Danio rerio: one gene and its partners. The protein of the gene in region 3 binds, or shares a complex with, the protein of the main gene of each other region. Links are inferred from orthologs where the notes say so. Each region holds a gene or a part of one and is shown on either strand. Other genes may lie near its edges.

Region 1 (5,846 bases), on a different chromosome or scaffold from region 3:
CTGTACAAGTCACAGGGATCGATCATTGTTTTCATATTTCACTATTCTTTTGTTTGATCAAACATAATTCACTATGTTTGGACCACGTCAGACATATAAAAGTATTACTTATGCACATCACCTCAAAAACAGAGGAGAATGGCCCTGAAGCGCACAGCATAAGGTAAGAGATGACAGCTGTCTGTGCTATCTGGGGTTGCTTATTGATCATGAATGTATTGTTTTCATTTCTGCGCCATGGAAACACTGTGATTCATTTAGCAACTGTTTTATATGTGAATATAATTCAGTAAAAAAATGCTCGAACTGTATGAGCACCAACAAGAGCTTTCATTTAGCTATAACTTGCACATGTGTCATATGAAAAATATGAAAACGAACCAGTGTAAAATACCTAGCTCGGGTATCCAAAACACTGTGTATTTAAGTGTAAATAATTTTTGTAAAGTAGAATAAAAACCAAAGTGATGCATATGTTCATAAAATATAGATTTTACACTTACAACGAAACCACTTACGGGGGTCTGGTGCAATGCTAGCCCATTAAATCTTAAAGGGAAAGTCGATGTAAATAAAATTTATTCATTATTCAAAAGTAATAAATATTTCTATCTAAAATAAATGTTAAAGATTAAGCTTTGCCATCACAGGAATGCATTATATTTTACAATGAAACTTTAATAGTTATTTTAAATAGTATTTTATTTGGTAAGCTTATTATTAGACTCTTTTTAACACAAAATATAAACATATATATTCCATTTTAGATCTTATAAAGGGCATATGTACTTCCAGTAATGTCTCGGCACTTTCTAGATATTAGCAATAAAAATACTAAAAATAGAAATCTGTTTGTTGATATTCACAATTTAAGACTTTGAATGGGAGTACTTTAATGTGATTCTGTAGTCTGATGTGTGAGGAGATGCTTACCGCTCATGGTAAAACTGCAAAGTGTTTTCCCCTGACATAGGAGTCATGAGCTGACGAATCATAGTCTGAGGTTTTTCTCTCTCATCCAATCCCAGCATCCGAACGTGAGCCACCAGCCATGCCACTGCACAGATGGCCATACTGCACACCTTTCCTTTTATATTATCTGTGATCTTCTACACTCACAGAAAAACACATCTTCAGTTACAGTCATAAAGAAGAAACTACTGTGTGACATTCATACTATTGGTCCCGAACTGTCAAATGATGGGAATTGTGTGCCATTTAAAGACTTCTTAAATGCCCTCACCTGAACAGCCTCCACTGACAAAACTCCATTTTCCCAGGCATTCAGGACCTCAAGTATAGCTGCAGGAGTACTAAGACATATTTCATGCCATTTCATCTGACTGGGAAGAAGAAAGCATATGTTTGACTTATCTCACAGGCAGGACAAAACAAACCATTTTGTGGCCAATCATTACTTACTTGCATACGTTCCATACTTAAACAAAACACACTGTCCTCTCCCAAATCTGAGCAAATTTTTCATCAAATATACATACAACAAATATGCACTTTTGGATCTAGGTTCTTGGCCTGCCAATTCACATCTGGTAGTACACTCTAAAACTACACAAATGACTGTTAGGCTAATAGTTTCATTTAAAGACAGCAGACCCTAAAATATAATCCCTGATTATTATTTTATTTTTTATATTTTTAATTTTAATAAGACACTTACTTACACATTTTTAACTCAAACGTATTTCAGGATCATAAAACAAACACCTGTATCCGAGCAACAGTCAGCTCTCAAAGAGTGATCAACAGTTCCACATTAGCAAAACGTTTTGCTATAGTGAGATATGCTCCCAATCTTGGATCTATTATTCAAAACGAGTCATCACTTATCTGATGTTACACTGAATGATTAAGATATTTTCTTTGGTGTGGTGTCTAATATAGCGGTTTCTGAATGTAAAAGGTATGCAAATATTCAAAAGCATACAATAAATGAATTTGTTGTGTCATAGAGAATATTATTCAGTGATGGTCAATAATTCAGGCATTACTTCATGCACAACCCTATGTAGGTTTGTAACACATTTGAAAATGCCAGCCTTTAGTTTTCACTGTCATCCTATTAACAACATCTAAACAGTACAGTTGTGGTGTCAACAGGTCAAAAAGAAAATTTTTGCATTGTTTATACTCGACATGTCCGCTAGTTCGATTGAGTGGGCGCAGCGAATGTGACGTTATCGCAGTGTTTGCGGAGGTTAGGTTTGGGTGTACGCGTCATGATTTCGGCTGGCGGAGCGCATGATTTTTTTGAGACGAGCGAACAGTTCGCACGGCGCCACAACTGATTTGAGTTGATTATGAAACACTGAAGAGATTTTGTCTGAAACAGGTTCAACTGTAGAGACATCTTTATGATTCATGTTCATAGATATAACCAGATGATCAAAAATTCTTGGCTAAAAATTACAACATTAGTGGGAAAGGAAGAATGTTTTTGCTAAAACATTTGGGAAAACTTGAGGGATAAGTTTGTTAAAGCCAAAAGAGGCCATGGCAAAAGTGGAGACCCGGATACACAATTACAGAAATATGTTTTTCCATTCATAGGTTTTACACTAATGTATATATTATTTTTTTATTTAAAACAATATAACAGTTACAAAACTAACAGAACAAATAATTTCTTTGATAACTGGAAAGGAATATTTGAACCTATCGGTTTACAATATACTGATGGCCTGTTTTTCTAGGCTTTATTGGTGATAATGGTCAAGAATGTTGGACCATTATCTCCTTTTTAGCATAAGTAGAGGACAGAAACATTATCAGACAGTAATGTGTAAACTGTGGAGCGGGCTAAATCTAAAATAATTTTTAGTAATTGTAATGTTTTTTTTTGCTTTTATAAAAATACATTTGTAAAGCAACCCATGTTCTGTTGTCAATGATATTTTAATAAACTTTAATAGGTAAAACTGTCCGAGATATGAACATAAGTTCAAAAGATGCATCTAAGTTTGACTTAAAAAATCTTAAATGGTTATAAAAATCCTTATAATCATTAAAATAATTTATTAAAATAATAAAAATTATTTGTTTAAAAATCTTGAATGATATTAATGATATGATGTAGTCTGTGTTTATCCGTGTGATTTTACGGTGGGGTTTTTTTTAACCACCCCCTGTTGTTTTGGCGAATGCGGCAAGTATAAAAGCCCTGTCCGTTTTGTGAGGTGCGCGCGCAGTCAGCAGAGGTGTGTGATGCGGCGCCAGACGAAAGAATAAATCCAGCTGAAACAAATACACTGTATGAATCCTCAATGAATGAAAGAAAATGCGTTTTGACAAAACCATTGCCACGTTATTGTTTCTATCATTGTATTTACAAGTCCAGAGGAAGCCACTTGCAATTAATTTAATGAGCTGTAGACCAATCACTAAAAAATGGTGCCTATTTGACAATCCAAACACTCAAAAAGAGAGATTTAGAAAGAGTGGATCCTTGAACATGAACAGGGAATGTATGCTACACTGTAAAACCCAACATTCAACTTTATCAAGTGAAATGAGTGAAGTTAACTCAAAATTGACTGAAAGTTAATTCTACTCATTTGAAAAGAGTTTTGAACTCAAATTAAATACCTCATTACTTCAACTCAAATTAAGCAAGTTCACAGTACTCATATAGATTAGTTTTTGAACTCAAATGGTTTGTTGCAATCAGTTTCCTCAAACAGTTAGAGTTGCCTTGACTTATTGGGTTTTACAGTACTCCATTGGTTTGAGTTCTCTTCACTTATCAGGTTTTACTGTGCTCAAACTGCTTAATTTACTTAAATGGATTAAGTTCACAATACTCATTAGGATTTGTTTTTGGACTTAAATGGTTTGCTGCAATCAGTTTCCTCGAACGGTTTGAGATACCTTAACTTTTTGGGTTTTACAGTGTAAGAGTATATATTTTTTGTTTACTTGATGGATATACACTTATTGCTAAAGACCTTCAAAACAAACTTGTTAAATAGAGTAATAATGGCACTTTAAAGAGAAGCACCACTTACACAAGCTTCATCTCAGATGAAGAATTAAGCAGGGCCACCAGGCTCTCCACCTTCCCAGACTCAGGTCTAAAGCAAGGGTGGTCTGGATTCAGGGTCTTCCCTTCCTCTGGCATGCACGTCTGAAGCCATGTCTCAAAGAAAGGGGTCTCGCTTGATGGGCTGGGGTCTGAAAGAATCACCTGGACAGACAGGAAGTAGGATATGATCGGAGCGTTTTGACTCAGTTGTGACTCTGAGTGTTTTGCGATGACAGGATGTGATTAAGAATTATATAAGAACATTACATAACCTTATCAGATTGAAATTATGTATGTGTAAATGCTGACCTCTGATCCATACGTCTGTACGACATGACACAGCATGAGGAAGGAAATGTCGAATAGCAGAGCTCGTACTGATGCAGACTTCGCTAGAAAGTAGATTGTTAAAAGTGAACTTGTGCTCAGATTTGGCTGGGTAATGTGCTGCTCAAAATACCCAAATATATATCCTTAATCTTCCATTATAATTTACAAAAATACATAAAGAAAAAATTAGAAGAGGGCAAAAATTCACAGCGAATAAACATAATAGCCTGAAAAGAAACTTACATCCTTCTCCACTAATGTGCTTTGGAAACTCGTTCAGCCTGGAAAAGAACAAATATACATCAAACTTCTTGACACTCTGTATTTTTGGGTTTACAGATAAAACCAGTGTTTCTCAAACATGTTCCTGGAGGACCACCAACACTGCATGTTTTGGATGTCTCCTTTATCTGTCACACCCATTACAGGTTTTTCAGTCTCTGCTAATGAGCTGATGATCCTACAGGAATGTGGTTGAGAAACACAAGATAAAATGATCCGATCTCTGTCATACTTGATGAATTTGCGGGCGAAAGACTTGAGTTTTCCAGTGGCTGCAGCAGCGGCCAGTAGCAAATCAAGACTCTTTCCTGAGAGCATGTGACCCAAAACTCCCAGCAATCCCTCGGGAGACTTAGAATGATCCGCATCCACGGTCTAAATAACCAGAAAGGCAAGTAAAAGTCATTAAATGATAACACTCACAATAAAACTCCATTAATTAAGAATCAAACATACTAATCAATATGAATTTGCAATGAAAACACTTCTAAACCATTTATTAATCTTATAATAACAGTAAAAGACAAAATTCATAATAGCAATAATCATTAGTTATAATTGGTCTTTAAAGATATTATGATACTTAACATTTATTACATTTTTAAAAGCTAAATTTGATCTAACATGGCAGTTCCATTTATGAACACTACAAAACAGGAACTCAATTACAGATTACTAGTTAGTAAGAAGTCATAAACTTATAAGAATAAACATAAATTGTCCAAGAGTGACATCAAGTTCAGTATTCAATTAACAATTTGAGTCATGGGTTAATTATGACAGATAAAAACATAGGCATACGAGTTCAATAAAAGAGAAACTATATGAAATCCCACTAATCAAAATCATTTTAAAACACCTTAAAGTTGAGATGGTAAAATCACCCTATACATTTTATAATTCATCATAGATCTTACTGTGATTCATCCATGTGTTTATTCATTTTACACATTCGTTTCTGTAATCTTTGATCAAATTCATGAAAAAAATCAAACTTCTCCATTTGTTATATATATATATATATATTTACGTTTACAATCATGTAGAACACTTAAATCTTACCTTCAACTTAGGGCTAGGCAATATGACAAAAAAAATTGTAACAATAATTTTTTTTCATATCAGTCAATATCGATAATTATCACGATGAATGTCAAATCTTTATATATGACTATTTTAAAGGCTTTTCAGCATG
Region 2 (6,528 bases), on a different chromosome or scaffold from region 3:
TGAGACACCGGCCCTGACACACACACACACACTTTAAGCAAGAGTTCAGACAAACACAAGGCAAGCTTCCAATAGGTCACGAATCTTTTGGTTTTGGATCAGTGGTTCAGAGTGCAGATCAAATTGGCGAGGTCACGTGATTTCAGTAAACAAGCCTTCATCACATCATCCCCGTTTTCAGAAAATGTCCTGCTTGTCATCTGCGGGGCGATCTGTGTTACACGTCAGTTATGCGCGCATATTAGATCGCCCCCTAGTGGACTGAACAGGAGAAGAGTGTGTAGATGTTTTTAGGAGAGATTTGTAAATGACAAGGAAGGAAGAAAGGATGACTGGATGGATGGATATAGACAGACGGAGAGAGGGAGGGATAGACAGACGGACAGAAAGATGGATAGACAGAGGGTTAGACAGACGGACAGATGGAGGGATAGACAAACAGAGGGTTAGACAGATGGAGGGATAGACAGAAGGAGGACAGAAAGATTGATAGACAGAGGGTTACACAGATGGACAGATGGAGGGATGGACAGACAGAGGGTTAGACAGATGGACAGACAGATGGAGGGATAGACAGACAGAGGGTTAGATAGATGGACAGACAAATGGAGGGATAGACAGATGGGCAAAAAGACAGATAGACAAATAGAGAAATAAACAGATGGAGGGATAGACGGACACAAAAATGGATATACAGATGGAGGGATAGACAGACGAACAGAAAGATGGATAGACAGAGGGATAGACAGATGAAGGGATAGACAGAAGGACGAAAAATGGATAGACAAACATATGTACAGAAAGATGGACAGACAGACAGATGGAGGGAGGGATAAACAGACAAAGATGGATAGACGAAGGGACAGACGGGGACTGAAAGATGGACAGACCGACAGACAGATAGAGGGATAGACAGACGGACAGAAAGACAGACAGACAAATAGAGACATAAACAGATGGAGGGATAGACAGACAGACACAAAAATGGATATACAGATGGAGGGATAGACAGACGAACAGAAAGATGGATAGACAGACAGATGGAGGGATAGACAGACGGACAAAGATGGATAGACGAAGGGATTGACGGAGACCGAAAGATGGACAGACCGACAGACAGATAGAGGGATAGACAGATGGACAGAGATAGACAGACCGACACAAAAATGGATAGACAGATGGAAGGGTAGACAGAAAGACAGACAGAAAGATGGATAGACAGATAGAAGATTAGACAAACATACAGAAAGATGGAAAGACAGACAGACATAGACAGACGGAGGGACAGACAAAAGATTAGACAAACAAACAGAAAGATGGATAGACAGAGACATAGAAAGATGGACGGATACACAGATGGAGGGATAGACATATGGAGGGATAGACAGAAGGACAGAAAGATGGATAGACAGATGGCTAGAAAGAGAGAGATGAAGGGATGGACAAACACAGGATTAGACAGACCAGACGAACAGAAAAATTGATAGAAAAATGGACAAAGATGGAAAGATAGACAGAAAGATGGACAGACGGATGAAGACAGAGGAAGGGATAGACAAACCGACAAAAATGGAAAGACAGACAGAGAGATAGAAAGAAGGAGGACAGAAAGATTGATAGACAGAGGGATAGAAAGACAGACAGATGGAGGGATAGACAAACAGAGGGTTAGACAGATGGACAGACAAATGGAGGGATAGACAGATGGGCAAAAAGACAGAAAAATAGAGAAATAAACAGATGGAGGGATAGACGGACACAAAAATGGATATACAGATGGAGGGATAGACAGACGAACAGAAAGATGGATAGACAGAGGGATAGACAGATGAAGGGATAGACAGAAGGACAGAAAGATGGATAGACAGAGGGATAGACAGATGAAGGGATAGACAGAAGGACAGAAAGATGGATAGACAGATGGCTAGAAAGAGAGAGATGAAGTGATGGACAGACACAGGATTTGACAGACCAGACAAACAGAAAAATTGATAGACAGATGGACAGACGGATGAAGACAGAGGAAGGGATAGACAAACCGACAAAGATGGAAGGACAGACAGAGAGATAGACAGATGGACAGAAAGATGGATAGACAGAAACAGACGAACGGAGACAGATGGAGGCATAGACAGATGGATAGAAAGATGGAGGAACAGACAGACAGATTGACGGATAGTTTGATAGACAGACATATAGATACACAAATAAACAGACAGAGAGACAGACACACAGTCAGTCAGATGAGAGACAGACAGACAGTTGGTAAAACAGGACAGACACAGACAGAGAGAGAGTCAGTGAGTGCAGCATTCACCCAGTCTGGTCGCCGGTGTCCTGCGCTCCTCCTCGGCTGTGTCCTGCAGCTCCTCCTGCTGTCTGCGGGCCTGCTCCAGGATCCTCCGGCTCAGCTTCTCATCCACGAACTCCTGCTGCTCCTCCTGCCCGCGGCCGCGCTGCTTCTGCCGGCCGCTGCAGCGCACTGAGTCCCGCTGGAGGATCTGCTCGGCCAGGGGCACCGCGCCGCCGCTCCAGGCCTTCTTCACCTTCGGCATGATGACGGTTATCAATATTAGTATTATCTGCCTGTCTGTCTGAGGAATTATGAGTGTGAAATCGCGTCTGAACACATGACGCGCCGCGGAGAGCTGCACACACGTGGGTCTGAGAGCAATGGCGCTGAGAGTGTGTGTGTATACATAGATATATGTCTGTAGTGCTGCTCTGAGAGCAGTTGGAGAGATGAGCGCTGTTTTGGAGCGCGCAGAACTACTGATCCCAGAGCGGCGCTGCGTCACACTGTTTACTTCCGCTCGAGGCTCGGCAGATCTCGGCTCTGTTCATTTTTAGCGCGGCTAATGTTTTTATATTACATGAATTTAATGATTGTTAATATTTTTATTTTATCGAATTTAAGTGTTTTACTTTTACTGATTTCGCGTGTTTCACGCAAACTCGAGTGATCCGGAAGTAAATACCCCGGCTTGCGGAAGTTTGTCTCGAAGAAATGGGTGTAACGTGGTGAGAAACACTTTTGTTTATAAAGTATTGTCCTCAAATAATTAATATTTTCAGTTGTGCTTGTTTTGAGTCTCTCTGGTGCTCCTGATGCTCCCGTTCAGCGCTGTTTGAATGCACAGAGAGGCTTTTGCTCCTCATTCATCAGTCTATTTATTGCTTTATACATGTTTACATCACATGTCACTCTTAAAAGTACTTTACAAAACTGTTATTAGTGTTGTGTAGAACACAATGAAGGCCTGTTATTATTATCAGGTGCACGTGTTCATTCAAACTAACATTTAAGATGAAATATAAGGATATTTGACGAGGTTTTCCCGAAGTTTTGTATAAAAAAAAGTGTAAGATTATCAGCTTCATTTACTGCAAACATATAAAAAAACATTTAACAAGTTTTGTAGTTTACAAGCACTCATTTAAGTAGTGTTCAGGGAGTCCGCGGGGTCTTAAAATTTATTAAAGTGCCCATGAAATGAAAACTAGCCTTGTTGTTGTTGTTAGCTCACAGTGCTAGTTCTGTGGTGAATAATTCATCTGTGCATATTATTGAGAAAATGTAATAGTTTGCCCTTCTAATCTTTAATTGAAATCTGAAAATGCTCTTCCTGTTTGTTTTCAGTTAAATTATCAGATGGTGTGTTTTTGAGAGAGGGGTCTGGCTGCAGACCTGGTGCAGATGCAATCTGAGCTGCATCCAATACTTTAAGCTGTGCTTACACTGGGCTTTTCTCACCATAGACTTCATTCATACACGCGAATGCGTCAGACTGGAAACGCAGGGTCATGCGTCAAGTTTCGCAGGTCACTTCAGTGCAAAGTTCAACCTTGGTGAAGTCGGACCTGCGAAATCACATCACTTGACTGCGGGAGACCAATCGAGGATCAACATGAGCTCTCTGGACAGAAATGAAACACATGCAGCAATCACTCGCTTTATTAATGCCTAATCATCTTGTTTAATCCCGCCCCTTTTCGCAGCGCCGTACGGCGGACTTTCGCACACGCAAGCTCTAGTGTGACTGCAGCTTTAATGTGCTCACCTAACCCCACCCCTCAAAGTGACCTCACTAGCTCAATTGTGTCCGACATTGCATCACTAAGAGATGCAATCTCAGCTTGCATCACAAAGGCTGCATCCAGATACTATTGGTTTTAGGCAATGGGCGGGGCTAACATTCATAACCACGCCCCTCCAGCTGTCAGTTTTGACAACAAACAGAAATGCTGAGCTGGGGTCCGTACGTTGCTTAAATGATCTTGATGATTTGGCAGATCCTTGATCTGTTCATCTTGATAACTGATCTCTGGCTAATTTGGTTCCTCAAACAGGTTCGTGAATTAGATTAAAATGTCTGGATGCACATCTGAGATCAGCGTGTGTTGTGAAGGGCAGATTTATCCATCCCCAAAATCATGATCAGCAATGCAGCGATTGGCTGACGGCACAGCAGCGCAATGACATCATCTGATCAATATTCAATTCTCCATGTGAGCAAAATTATTTAAAATTCTTAGTAAACGGTTTGTTAAATATGACACACAATAACTTCCCATGTTTGTTGTGAGCTGCAGGCTTTTTTACACATTCATGTGTCAAGAGTATTCAGCAATTTATTTTATTGTTAGAGCAGATTTTCCTTATTACAGTCGCCATATTAGTATTATAGTAGCCGGTTTCTTAATTGGTATAAAGATTAACAGGATGTTTAAATTAATTTTGCATCACAAAAGCATTTTACTATTGGTAAAGATGTCTGCAACTTTTTTGAAGGCATTAAATCCCAGTCATATTACCGAATACCTGCATGAATGTATTATTCCTTTATAAAAAAAGGTTGCATTAATTTTCTCTTTGATCCACCAGGTGGCAGTATTTGTACTTTTATTTCGGAGTGCAGATTGCATAAGTTTTATTTATATATATTTTAACTTATATATATATATATATAGTTAAAAAATATATTTACTATTTTCCCAAGTGTATATAACTATATAACTACTGTAATAAAAGATCAGAATTCGTTACATAGTTTCAGTATTATCTTTGCTTGAACTGAACCGATCTTATCCTGTTTATATGAAACAAGCTGCTGCTCCCCAGCAGGTTTGAGCTACCAGAACTATTGATAGGACAACAGCTCTCAGATGAGTTTTGAAGAGCGTAACGATCCTGGAACATGTCAAATCGTCAATAACCAAATCCGTTATATAATAACTGAGTAATGCATGTACGAAGAACGGACCCCTGGGGTTTGGTTTTCATAGGTGAATTACTCAAGTATATCAATCTATCTATATAGCTAGATAGACAGACATTACACATATGCACACACAGACTCGCACAATTATTTTTATTATTTATTTTTATTGATGTTTACACTGATCAGAATGATCTTGCTTTAGTAAACTACCATTTTGAAACTGTTTTTAATTGTAAATAAATTAAACGTCTCAAATGTGTGTGTGTTTGTGTCAGTGTTTGTCAGGTGCCAGTGGCCGAGGGTAAGAGCGTCCAGCAGACGGTGGATCTTCTCCACAGGAAGCTGGAGCAGCTGGGAGCCGTAAAACAGGGGAACTTCTGGGTGGACTGTGAGACGTATCACGCTACGGGAAATGCCACCGGTAAAAACACAACTCTTGGATTACTTAAACCAAATTCTGTTACAGATTAAAATAACATGACAAAATGTGTAGTCAGTAATATAAATCAGTTAGATTACACATTTATGGTAATGTATCCGGACTACTTTTTAAATTACATTTAGATTACTTTTGCGCTAACCCTTAGTTGATGTCACACATAGAATGAAAAGAATATAAGAAACGTATATTCACAGCATATTTATTATAAACACACACACACACACACACATATATATATATATATATATATATATATATATATATATATATATATATATATAAAAATAATGTTCATAATGGAATCATGTAATTAAAAAGTAACTAATTTGATTACGAGTATTTTAAAAAGGAGTTTATTATAATTACAAGATCTTGATTTTTGCAATATGATTACAAGATTGCATAATTTTAGAGATTGCATATAATCGGATATCACATACAAACCGATATTACATATAAAAAAAGTTTACAAATAAACCGATTTTACATACAAACCAATATTACATATGAAACGAGATTGCAAATAAAACAAGATTACATACAAACCGATATTACATAACAAGATTGCATTTAATCCGATATTACATGTAAACAGATATTGCCTATAAACCGATATTACATAGAAAATGAGATTACATAAACACCGATATTGCAATTAAACCGATATCACAAATAAAACAAGATTACATACAGGCCGATATTACAATTAAAACGATATAACATACAAAACGAGATTACTTATAAACCGGTATGACAATTAAACCAATATTACAAATAAAAGAAGATTACATTTAAACCGATAACATACAAAACGAGATTACAATTAAACCAATATTACTAATAAAACAAAATTACATAAACTGA
Region 3 (6,534 bases):
CTACAATAGGGTCTCCGTCCACTGAGCTGCTCTGTGCGCACTCCCAGCTGTTCACCAGGTGCTCTGTCATGCCCCAACACTTGATCTGACCATCACCATCAGCAGACAACAACCTCGAACCTAGCAAACCACACAAGAGGTAGGGTTGAGCAATGTCGACCAATTTGGCATCATACAATGTCTAATGTAAACCATCGCGATGGACGATGGCATATGACGGTATGTCTGAATATCAAGTTTAACAACTATAATGAGACGCAATCCAGTGGTACACCCTTGATAAACTGTCAAACATGCACGACTCTCTGTCTCTGGAACTCAGAGGAGCGCATGACAGTGTGTGGCTCTGAAGTGAGCACCACTTGCGTCTGTGAATGTCTGTCTGTTTCTGTCTGTATGTGTGTGTTTGTGTGTGGTCACGTGATGTGCGTTTTCAGCGGACGGAGGGCTGTTCAGAAATGCTAGGTAAAACACGATGGAGATGTGGATCATTTCGTTCTAAAATGCCATCTTTACACTAAGACGTCTTTGTGCAAACGGGGCCTGAGTGTGTATTTTTTGCGTGAGGGTTTGTGATGGGGCGGAGGATCAGCGATGCAAGCTCAGCATTGTGTTGTCTATTGGCCATCGAAGATGGACGATGGCATCGACTATCGGCCCAACCCTAACAAGAGGCAAACATTATTGACTTATTTGAACAAATACATTGATTAGGGATGCTCATTTCGGTTAATTTTGCCAATCGAAATCTGCCACTCATTAACTGAATATTAACTGCTAACTGGTCAGATTAATATTAAACTACTATTTAATTTAAAACAAAGCAATTGACGTGTCTATTTTGTGTCCGACACATTTAATATTGCATTTTAAAATACTGATTTATTTTAACATGCAAACATAATAACAACCGCATTTAATTAATGCTCCGCTACATTTTTTAGCAATCAGCATCAGTGCTGCTTTGGCATCGACTTGTCTGTGTCAAACTGTGACCAGCATCATCCTTCTTTCATTTTGCTTTTTTGGCAAAATATGTCTGTGGGCACATGTAGTTGCACATGTTACTGTCTCACGAATAAGCAAATATGTGTTGCACATTTATGCAGCCAAACTTAAATAAAATAAAAACAATACATTTTTAATCATTTAACTGATACCAATAATAGATTAAAATGCACCTTTTAAGACAGGGATGCCCAAACTCTATCCTGGAGGGCCGGTGTCCTGCAAAGTTTAGTTCCAACCCAATCAGACACACCTGGGCTATCTAATCAAGCTTTTTAAAGGCTTTCTATAAACATCTATGCAGGTGTGTTGAGGCAAGTTGGAGCTAAAATCTAGTGGTGGGCAAAGCGAGGCTTCATGAAACACTGAAACAAACAGTCGAAGCAAATGTGTCGAAGCTTCGAAATGTTTTGAAACCCCACTCTACGGTGACCACCTAGTGGTCATTTTTATGTATTGCACTGAAACAGCTTCAGCAAGAACATTTTAGCAAATTGAGGTATTACACCCCACTTTGTAAAAGTATCTATTCAAGAGATTTAGTGGAGCGGTTAAGGTTTCTGACTTCCATGTGGGGATATTGAGTTTGAATCCAGGCTGATACGGCTTTTTTGAAATGCTTTAATACCAGTTGGTAATGCTTTGTTCTTGTTTCGTTTTGTTTCAACATTGGTCTGACATCCGAATAAACACTTTGTAAATAAATATGTCTTGTTTTGGTATTAAAACAGAGTTGTTGCTAGATCAGACACAGTTGTGGCCAGAAGGTATCAAGAATTATTTATATTATTTATTAAATTTCCCATTTATTGTATTTCATTAACGTCTATCCAAACCCTAAACCCAACCATCACAGTACTGTAAAAATATTTATTATTGTTTTAGTGTTACAAAAATGATGCTATATTGATGGCGTATCCTCAGCTTTAATCTATTTAGGCTACACCATAAAACAGAAACATGATTAAAATACATAAAACCATGATTTAGGTGTATTTGTACAAGTCGGGATTCAAACCCAAAAGTCATTGGAAGTATAAAAACAGCGTGTACAGGCACAGTCCACCAGGCCATATGAGACAGATTTTGAAACTGACGCCGGCAGTTACATCCAGATTCGCAAGGTCTCGAAACACTTCTTAACTGATTGTTGCTTTGAATCATTTTAGTCACGTGTCCAGGTGTTTTGAAACACTTTAGTCACGTGAATTGGGTGTTTCGGATCATGCTTCGGTGCAGTGTTTCGAAACACTTGTGCTTCGGGATCTCGAAACTGTGTCGAAACGTCAGTTTCACGTCAGCCATCCCTACTAAAATCTGCAGGACACCGGCTCTCCAGAACTGAGTTTGGGCACCCCTGCTTTAAGTTAACGGGTTAATCAGTTATTAGGAGTATCCCTAAAACTGATTTTATAAACAACTTAATTAATAAATGTTTTATGAATATTAAATAAAAATGAATATACCTTTTTTATTATTATTTTTCTTCATACTTTGATTTGGCTTTTTTGCTTCATATTAAATTTAGCAATTGTATTATTTGCACTACTGTTTTCATTTGTTATAATATAAAGTATAATTTTTTTATTTGCCTTTTTGATTTACTTTTATTTTAATAAATTATATATATTTTTTCTGTTCTGTTACTTGCTAAAGCAACATTTGTAATTTTCATTTAATACAAGTTTTTTCTTTATTATCAGATTTTTTAAATAGTTTTAGTATTTGATAATGGTAAAAACCCTGATTTGGAAAAGTATTTAGGTTTTACATTGAAACGCGTCTCTCTTCAAATGTTTTTAACACTCTAAAATGATTCAAATGTCAATTATAAAATAATTATATTATTACAAAAAATCTATAATAAAAATAAATATTATATTAGATTTTATTATTCTGTATCTAATCTGTACTGATTTAAGACCATCGCAGTACATTAATCGAGTAAAATTAGGCTTACCCTTACAATACTGAGACTACCCACCTAAAATAAATGGAAACTTTACTTCTAAAAAAAACTTGTCAAATATGATCTGCACATATTGCCAAATGTTTAGCCCATTTCATCTTTATCATCATGATGACTGACCAGACTGATCCCATTCTAGGCAGGAAATTATCTCATTGTGACCAGAATTGATGGAGTACACATCCCAGGGGTGATCAGTGTCAATGATGTGTATCATATGACTGAGATCTGCAACAGAAAAAAAAAACATGATTGTTGTTGCTGATATAATGCTTGATCATAAATAAACACCATTGTTCTATGTATTTTGGATCCAAAACGAATTGAAAATGTATGTTGTTTCTTGTCCTCCATTCATAACTCACCAACAGGAGTGGTAATATTGGTAATAAAGGCATTGTCCAGACCTTTGTCATCCTCCTCATTCTTCAGGTCAGTGGTGAAAGCGATGAGGTTTCTACATGACCAGGCGCACACCAGAGGGATTGAAGGACAGTGGTTGCTCTTGGGTCTCTTCTCCCACTCGCAAACATATGCGATATCCATCATATAATGAAGGAAACTTACTGTTTACAGCACAGATGCCCCAAATGAACACCTTTGAATGTGTTCACAATCACTACGGGAGACAACAAAAGCAAACACCGCTACTGTACAGAAACAGAAGAAAATGATGGGTATGGCAGACTCAAAACTACATGCTCCTGCTAATAAGTCCGAACATAAATTAATTTGTTAATAATATAAATTGTTCTGGCGTTTCAAATCTATTCTAATTCAGCAAATAGCACTTTGAAGCTGCACATCACATCATTGAGCGCCTGTATTCGTCGACTCTTTCCGGATTCAAAGACTCATCTAATACTTACCACCCCCTATTGGGCTGGAGCTCCGATCTATTTCTGTATTTGTCTATCTACGTTACTTTTGAAGCATAAAAGCGTTAACAAAAATGTTTACTCATGCATGGTTATGCATTATTTATTAACAAAAGGCTTTTTTGTTCCTATGCTTTTATGTATGTATGTATGTATGTATGTATGTATGTATGTATGTATGTATGTATGTATGTATGTATGTATGTATGTATGTATCTATGTATGTATGTATGTATGTATGTATGTACGCTATTTATATATTATTTTTCTCTTTTTTTATATAAACGTTTTATTTTTGTTTATACATTTTTATAATTTAATTTATATGTTTAAGTTAACCTTTTAAGTCTCTCTCTCTGTGTGTGTGTGTGTGTGTATGTGTGTGTGTGTGTGTGTGCGTGCGTGCGTGCGTGCGTGCGTGCGTGTGTGTGTGTGTGTGTGTGTCTCAGAAAGGGTTTGACGTACAGAGCTAATAATGTGCCAAAACAATCACAATTTGAATTGTATTCATTTGAATTATTAACAATTTTAATTTTAAAAATCAGATTTTTTTATGACATTAAAAATCTTTTAAATTTGATTTTCTTCATTTGAATTTGAATTTCATAACTTGAGTATTGAACATCTGAAATGCAAGAACTTTTCAAGCCTGATTTGTTTGTGTTCTGAGTTCATAGACTGTAGATATTAAGTTTGTGAAAATACAGTTTCAAATTTTCAAGATGAAGAAATTTAGAACATCCAAATCAATATCATAAAATTCAAAACCAGAAATTCAGATTGTGAAATTCAGGGCTGGAAATATATATATATATATATATATATATATATATATATATATATATATATATATATATATATATATATATATATATATATATATATCTATATATATATATATATATATATATATATATATATATATATATATATATATATATATATATATATATATATATGGTCTAAATAACGAATGTGAATGAACAATTCAGTGACAAAGAGAGATTTAGCGCCACCCATTGGACATTTTGATTTCAATGCATTTCAGTCAAAAAATAGCCTACTGTAATATTTTAACACAAAAAATCAAACGTTTGAGAATATGTCTATAAAAAATTCCGCCTTGAAAAATTCAGTTGTCTTACATTTCAATATTCAAGTTAGAAAATTCAAACTAAGAAATTCAAAACAATTTTTAACGGCATATAAAAATTCAGATTTATTAAATTACAATTGTCTAATTCAAATTAACACAATTCAAATTTAGATTGTTTTGCTTATTATTATTTCCATAATACGCACATCAAATGAAAACATGGCAATATTTACAGCTAACAGCTTATCATTTTTCAGTAAAGCAACTCATTCATTCATTTTCTTTTCAGCTTAGTCCCTTTATTAATATGGTGTTTGCCACAGCGGAATGAACCGCCAACTCATTCAGCATATGTTTTACGCAGCGGATGCCCTTCCAGCCGCAACCCATCCCTGGGAAAGTAAAGCTTAAATTCTGATTCAAAATCACAAATAATGACTTGAGGCGACATGGTGGCTCAGTGGTTAGCAGCACTGAGATCTCACAGCAAGAAGTTCACTGGTTCGAGTCCCTGTTGGTTCAGTTGGCATTTGTGTGTGGAGTTTGCATGTTATCCCCGGGTTTCCTTCAGGTGCTCCGGTTTCCGGTTTCAAAGAAGTGGTAGGTATAGGTGAATTGAATGTATGTGTGAATGAGACTGTATGGATGTTCCCCAGTACTGGATGGGTTGGTTGCAGCTGGAAAGATATTCTCTGTGTAGAACATATGCTGGATAAGTTGGCGGTTCATTCCGCTGTGGTGACCGCAGAGAAAATGAATAAAATAATGGCTTGTATTTGAAATTATTTGTACTAAACTTTCCAAACAGAATGAATACATTGAGCAAATATATTTGTAAATTATGTATAGTAAAAATTCAATTAAAACATTTGCAAACAAAGTTGAACTACAAATAATATTGTCTCTAATAAAATAGCAGAAATCTAAACAATCCTCATGAAAAATATGCTTATTTCGTATTTTGAGGTCATCCCCACCGCAATCAAGCGCTATGCATGTTTATCTTTACTTACTTCTACTGCGTGACTTGTACCATAGATGCTGTACTAAATAGCCTTTCCACTCTATTATGACGTGACGCAATAATAAATTAATACGATTTGGAGAAACCAGAAACAACAATAAACGCATGATATTTATGTTATATGTTTATATATTTATTTATTCGTTCATTCATTAATTTTGTTGTTGTGGAATCCTTTAGACTTTTGAGTAAAAAAAACAGATCCCTTGGCCAAATCACGTGACTTACCACGGAAGCAAAACCAGAGTGGAACTGCTTCCCTCATTAAAAGCTTCCTGACTGCTGCTCCCAAGTCCGCTCCGCTTCAGAAAATGGTTGTGTAAACAGATGATTCGTAAAACAGCTTACAGTTGCTGCCATCGGGTGGTTCTGGTGGGACATCATCAAGTATCTGATGTCTTGTTTTATTGAAGAGTGTCAGCGTTATGTGAGAAGGCGTTTGTCAAAAAGTAAACCGAACATACGGGTTCTTCACTGGAAGCTCGGCTAACTTGTTAGCTTGTGACTATTAGCAGACTACGCTATATGTGCTGTTTGAATTTTCATTCATTTTTAAAGT
Region 4 (6,291 bases), on a different chromosome or scaffold from region 3:
TTGTTGTTTTTGTATTTTTCTGTATGTTTCTGTCATTTTAAATCAATAAAGGTAAACCACACGGCATAAGCACTGAGCCGGACATCAGCAATAAATAGTGAAATCATTCTGAGATAATAGTATTAACAAATATCCTAGCAAAGTAATCAATGTCACATTATTACTGTCGTTATGTAACGCTTTCATCATCTGGTCCAGCTTATGCTAACCCCAATATCCTAACTTGTTTTAATAACTGCCAGGACATCGTTCTTAATATTTTAGCAGTTGTCAATCATATAAGTGACGTGATTGTAATGTCTTACCCTGTTGATGACCTTTGTGTTGAATAAGTTCTTTATAAAGTGTCTCCCGGCTGTGCCGAAACGCTGCATGGAGGCCGCCATGCTGTTTACTGACTGTAGGACGCAGGAGGAAGAGCGAGCTCCGATTGGACTAAAAGACAGCTACGTCATGCGTTTTTCAGCGTGGCTGCAGACCAACTGAGGTATTTTTGCATTTTTTATTCTCAAGTGTTTACTCCTCCTTGTGGAGAACTGTTCAACTGTGGCTATAATGGGTATTTAACAATTTTTAATTTTATATTTAATGTAATTTAGCAGAAACGTAAATAACAATATGCCGAGAAAGCTGCACGTTTGAACAGCACAGTGTTTACATTTAGAGTTTTTTGCAGTATTGTATGATGTTAAAATAGTTTATATTTTATTACTATTTATTTTATATTTCTATTGTTTATCTAGATGTTATATATTAAAGAAAATAATATATATAATAACATATATATATATATATATATATATATATATATATATACATACATACATACATATATACATATATATATATATATATATACATACATACATATATACATATATATATATATACACACACACATACATACATACATATATATACATATATATACACACACACACATATATATATATATATATACACACACACACACATATATATATATATACATACATACATCTATATATATATCTATCTATATATATATATATATATATATATATATATATACACACACACATACATACATACATATATACATATACACACACACATATACATATATATATATAGCTTAAAAATATTTACTATTTTCCCAAGTGTATATAACTACTACTGTAAGAAGATATCAGAGTTCGGTTCATACTTTCAGTATGTTGTTTATATAAAATGAGCCTGCTCCCTAGCAGGTTTGAGCTATCGGAACTGTTGCTATGACAACAATTTTCAGATCAGTTTTGAAGAATTAAACGATCCTTGATCATATCAAATCGTCAATAACCAAACCCAGCTAAACTGGAGTCATCCATGTGCGAATAACGGACCGCTAGCAACAACCAGTACAGCAAAGAAACAGCAACATGACAGCAACAGCAAGTTAGAAGGCTTAAAGAGAATGTCTGTTTCTAATGTATTGGAAGCAGATATTTACGTAGGAACAACACAACAACAAAATGAAGTGATGTTTAACACAATTTGCCGTCAGTTTAACAAGTCAACCACCTTTTATTAATAGATTTTGAACTGCAAAAAACCTGCACATTTTCCATACTGCTCTTTTTGTTTGCATAACACTTTGAATTTTGCTCATTATTTATTAAAGCATCTTTAAGTATTGAAATTCGAGATTCACAGACATTGTTTTTGACACATTATTTAAAATATGTGGCTAAAAATAGCTATCATCTTAGCTTTTTTTTCTCTTCTTTTTTTATTTTTGGTGGGGTCAGTAAAAAATTTGGCAGGGCAAGTAAAAATCTGAACCACTGGCCCGATCGGACCAGTAGAAAAAATCCATAGCGTTAAACCCTGAACAGGTCAAAGTTAAAAATAAAAACAAGCATGTCATACAATATATTTTTATTTGTTAAACATAACTTCTTTCAAAACAAGAGTATCAGCATAATGCTGGTGAGGGAAAAAAACAACATTTAATTTACAAAACATACCCAGAAGCTGACTATTAATGGTAGTAACACGCTGATGAACATTACACAAGGTAAAAAACAGAGGTCGCACAATAAAGACATGCGATGGGAAATCAGCTTTCTTTAGTCCAGAAACCGATGTGAAACAGTGAGTCTCCTGCAGTCGATGTAGGATGCGTATAAAATCCCTGCTGTGTCCCGACACTATAGTTCATGTTGTGGTTTTTTTCTGTCAGGATTCTGGAGGTGTTTGCTGACTCGGGGCTCCGCTGCGGGTGCGGAGCTGTGATTGGGCGATGTCTGCTAGTGCCGTCTGGATCTTCTCCAGCAGGGCGTCTCCTCTGTAAACCACTTCCTCCAGACGCGCTGCAGCTTCCTGGTTCTCCTCTTCCAGCTGTCGCAGACTGGCGGCCTAAGAAACGCATCAGAAATGACAACAAGTAGAGACGAGGTATAATGCTAATGTATTGTTGTTCACTCTGTACTTGGACAACATGGGTAGCACAGAGCCAGATGTGCAATATATGTGGCATGGGATGAGCAATTAACAGTAATCAAGTTTGTAATATGATTAATATCTAGCTAATTGGTCATTTGTGTATTATTGTCATGGTATATTTCAGTGTTTCTCAAATCCATTTCTGGGCTCCTACTGCTCTGTACATTCAGTGCAGCTTCTGGAGCTTTCTTCTAGCAAGATGATATTTATAATCAGGTCCATTATGTAGGCATAACTCAAAATGTGCAAAGCAGTGGCTCTCCAGAAATGGATATGAGATGCACAGGTTAAGCTGAGATTCATTTTTAATGCAACAATATAATTTACAGTTGATTTTCTTCTCTTTGAGTGCCAGAACTCAAAACCTGAAGTGCAGAACAACCATATTTTAAACAGCAGAAGGCTCAATAATTATATAATGATTCAATAATAATAATGTGGTGTTGGCCAGTGATACAGTGTGTGTGTGTATATAATAAATGTACCTGCAAGGCTGCAGTGGATTCTTCACTGGGCAGAGAGTCGATCAGCACATCAACATCTTTTGCTGTTCTTGCTATCAGCGCTGCAAACAGCTGAGCATATTCTAGAAAAAACACATCTTAGTATGTCAACTTCAAAACACATTATTTTCAAAGTGGATCACATTCAGATCAGTGCAGATGAGAGCACCTTCTGTGGGGTTTGAGGGCTGGTCTTTATTGATGGCCGTCTGGATGTTGCTGAAGGAGGCCGGTGGTGCGCACTGCTGCAGAACTCCAATCGCATTACAGAACTGATCCGCCAGCTGAAACACGACATGCAGTAAATCAGACATGCAGGACAATCCACTGTTACTTTCAGTTTACATGTTCTTTGACATGATGAGAAGTATTAGTACTCAGTGCTAAGATTGTGAATTATGTAATATATGAATAAACACAATTACATGTAATGTTTGATTAAACAACATTAATTTAAAACAATTTAAAAATAATTAATATTGCACTTTGAAGAACACAAAAAAAGAAATATTTAAGTGTACTTCACCAATATATAAGTAACAATAGCACTTACAGAAATGTATGTATATATTATATGTTATATTATAATTATATAACGGTGCCTTTTATATACACTTACTTAGATTATAATAGGACTATTATTTTCAGTTTCGTTTTATTTATAACAAGTAAAACATTTATTACAGTATCAAAACACATATGACAACAAACTTCACCTGTTCATTTGTTCACAAATTGCACGCTATGCTAACACTTCAGACGCTACAGTACATCAACATGACTTCTTAAGCAAATAATCCAATTTAATGAACCAGACTATTAAGTAAATCTGTTCGGAAGACATTTGCTGTGTTCTGCAGTTTCTGAAGTATAAAATAAACGTTAAATGAGTCTTACGGAGTTCACAGCATCCTGAAGCTGCGTTAGCCTGTCGGCCATGTTGGCTCCTCTTCACAGTTTCCGTTTCCGCCGAGCGCGTTCAATGCTACATCACGTGATACAGCGCAGCGTACAGCGAAAGCGCTCGTCTACTGAAAAGTTGTTGCATTTTCGCGCAAAGCAGGAGTGCTTGACACTTCCGGAGGCTGGATGTGAAGCTTCAACATGACTGCCGAATGTAAATGCTTCTGCTAAAGCGTGTTTATGGACTGGACTGATCCGGGAAAATGCCACTGAAGAGAGAATGTTTGGTTCTGCTCGTCTTGTCGTGGGTCGGTTCACTGCGCGCTCAGGATGAGAGTGAGTAACGTTAAACCCCTAATACCTTCTTTATTACGCTTGATAAAATATATAATCCCTATATAACGCACATATGTGGCAAATAACAGTTGTTTAAAGTGTGACTCAGCTCATTTAGCGACATATGAATCGAAATCAATCATGTCAACTATGTATTTCTAATCAATTAGTGATTGATATGATGTTGCAACTGATCTAAAGTTCACCGTTACGCTAAATAAACACAAACATCCCAAAATATCTTACTTATCACGCTTAATTAATTATATAATCCCTTTTAAACGCACACATGTGACAAATAATTCGTGTTTGTAGAGTGAATCAGCTGCCGACATATCAATCTGAAATAATAATCCTAAGAATGAAATGCTGATCAATTAGTGATCGATTCGTGTACTGATTTAAGGTCAATATATCAATCTGAAATAACCCTATTATTGTTACCACATAATAGCTAACATAGAGGTAACGTTGCTTTTATAGTCGCACATTCGTTTATTTAGCAGTCTCTGTATTGTTTACCATGTTAACGTTAACGTTACTTTGAATATTCGATAGACATTAGCAGGCAAGGATGACTTCAAAACAACATCGACAATGATTTCCCTATTTAGAATTTGTAAACATTACTTTTCTGAAATTACCTTATTGAGGAGAAAGTCTGAATATGTGAATATAAAACAGACTTTACCTCTATATAGCTAACTATTATTGTTCTAGTGTATTTGGGTTTTATGACTGCTTGTACTGTTTATAAACTGGACTACATTGATATTTATGAGGTGATGATTGCTGATAATGTAAATACACACACACACACACACACACACACACACACACACACACACACACACACACACACACACATACATACATACATGCATATATATGTGTGTGTGTGTATGTATATATGTGTTTGTGTGTGTGTGTGTGTATGTATATGTATATATATATATATATATATATGTATATATATATATATATATATATATATATATATATATTATAATTTAACACTTTAGTGAATCTTAGACAATGCATAAAATAATTAAATACATAAGTGACTGATTTATTTATTTGTTTAATTTTTCATACACAAGAAAGACATTCATTACGACTAATATAGTAAGAATATTAATCTCACACTTGGGAAGATAATAAGTTTACGGTAATCAGATGTATAAACTGAGCAAAAATATGCAATTTGGTGCTGATATAAACATTATTATACCCAAAACATTCAGAGGTCTGTCAGAGTACTTGCATAAAATGCATATAAATATTACTGTCACTCTATCGCAGAGTAATATGTCTAAATGCAATACTTTTTTTATTTTTTAAAAGCAATGCATTGTAATGATGAAGGAACAATTCTCAAAAATATATAAAATAGCAAATATCAAATTTGCTCAATTTACTTTTAATTATTTATTTTTATTAATATTTAAAGATATTCATCTATGTAAAGACACTGATCATGTTAATGATTTCTCGAATGTTTTTGTTTTAGCGAGTTTTTGATCTCTACTTCATTTGGGAAAATAAAAACATTATTTCTGAGAATTATTGTTTCTCAAAATTCATATTTGATACTCATATTTCAGCATTTATGGACATTTCAATGGTCAAGAAAAACAAAATTTAGTCTTTATTTTCATATTATAATATTGATATTCTTACATACAATTTTTATTTTTATTTTATAGAGATATATTTTAATATTATATAAGGTTTTACTTCTGATAAGTGATCTAAACCACAAGCTGAAATATTTGTGCAATTTAAATAAAATATATTTAACAAAAAAAAAAGCATAAACTATCAATCATGCGACACAGTGGCCTGTAGTAGATTGTGTGCAACAGGAAAGGTTTATTACTATTGTCATTTTTTAGACACTTGGAAACTAAGTATAAGTGTAATGCTTCACACCTCTGTCTGAATTTCCTGCTCGTCTTTCTGAAGCTGTTGTGGATTTAACACATTTTCAGTGTCTGTCAGTCATGATTTTGTGCCTCCTTAATAATGCTCTTTTATTTTGTAACAGTGGTGCGTTTTCATGCAGTTTTTCTCATTTAATTCC

Evidence for each region.
Region 1: the proteins of med16 (region 3) and med24 are in contact, whole or in part, in a cryo-EM structure (PDB 7EMF), measured with the Homo sapiens proteins. The link is inferred for Danio rerio from reciprocal best matches to the Homo sapiens genes MED16 and MED24. Residues at the interface, in NP_005472.2 of Homo sapiens: His29, Cys30, Pro31, Ser32, Arg52, Asp54, Asp55, Gln56, Glu82, Asp102, Val126, Glu127, Gly128, Asp129, Pro130, Val184, Ser185, Leu187, Thr203, Glu204, Ser205, Cys207, Arg208, Leu209, Arg210, Gly211, Arg212, Asp232, Gly233, Ser234; in NP_055630.2 of Homo sapiens: Ile539, Leu540, Asn541, His544, Pro545, Glu593, Arg629, Met630, Leu631, Gly632, Leu633, Asp634, Glu635, Asp676, Gln679, Gln680, Thr681, Ala682, Pro702, Pro703, Lys704, Arg705, Pro706, Ile707, Lys708, Glu709, His737, Met738, Gly739, Gly740.
Region 2: med16 (region 3) and med20 share a complex: the UniProt entries of both Homo sapiens proteins name them as parts of the mediator complex. The link is inferred for Danio rerio from reciprocal best matches to the Homo sapiens genes MED16 and MED20.
Region 4: med16 (region 3) and med21 share a complex: the UniProt entries of both Homo sapiens proteins name them as parts of the mediator complex. The link is inferred for Danio rerio from reciprocal best matches to the Homo sapiens genes MED16 and MED21.

Annotation. Positions count from the first base shown.
Region 1 is NC_133187.1:11,210,432-11,216,277, forward strand, and holds part of med24 (mediator of RNA polymerase II transcription subunit 24), read right to left. Parts: intron 5,027-5,846; coding exon 4,884-5,026; intron 4,651-4,883; coding exon 4,613-4,650; intron 4,432-4,612; coding exon 4,349-4,431; intron 4,202-4,348; coding exon 4,023-4,201; intron 1,344-4,022; coding exon 1,244-1,343; intron 1,110-1,243; coding exon 934-1,109; intron 1-933. UniProt on the Homo sapiens protein: Component of the Mediator complex, a coactivator involved in the regulated transcription of nearly all RNA polymerase II-dependent genes.
Region 2 is NC_133197.1:572,549-579,076, forward strand, and holds the start of med20 (mediator of RNA polymerase II transcription subunit 20), read left to right. Parts: upstream 1-2,781; 5' UTR 2,782-3,007; coding exon 3,008-3,021; intron 3,022-4,350; exon of another isoform or gene 4,351-4,509; intron 4,510-5,497; coding exon 5,498-5,643; intron 5,644-6,528. UniProt on the Homo sapiens protein: Component of the Mediator complex, a coactivator involved in the regulated transcription of nearly all RNA polymerase II-dependent genes.
Region 3 is NC_133186.1:14,598,967-14,605,500, reverse strand, and holds the start of med16 (mediator of RNA polymerase II transcription subunit 16), read right to left. Parts: upstream 3,809-6,534; 5' UTR 3,527-3,808; coding exon 3,385-3,526; coding exon of another isoform or gene 3,343-3,384; intron 3,206-3,342; coding exon 3,098-3,205; intron 121-3,097; coding exon 1-120. UniProt on the Homo sapiens protein: Component of the Mediator complex, a coactivator involved in the regulated transcription of nearly all RNA polymerase II-dependent genes.
Region 4 is NC_133179.1:2,081,987-2,088,277, reverse strand, and holds med21 (mediator of RNA polymerase II transcription subunit 21), read right to left. Parts: upstream 3,954-6,291; 5' UTR 3,909-3,953; coding exon 3,867-3,908; intron 3,254-3,866; coding exon 3,139-3,253; intron 3,053-3,138; coding exon 2,952-3,052; intron 2,380-2,951; coding exon 2,200-2,379; 3' UTR 1,885-2,199; downstream 1-1,884. UniProt on the Homo sapiens protein: Component of the Mediator complex, a coactivator involved in the regulated transcription of nearly all RNA polymerase II-dependent genes.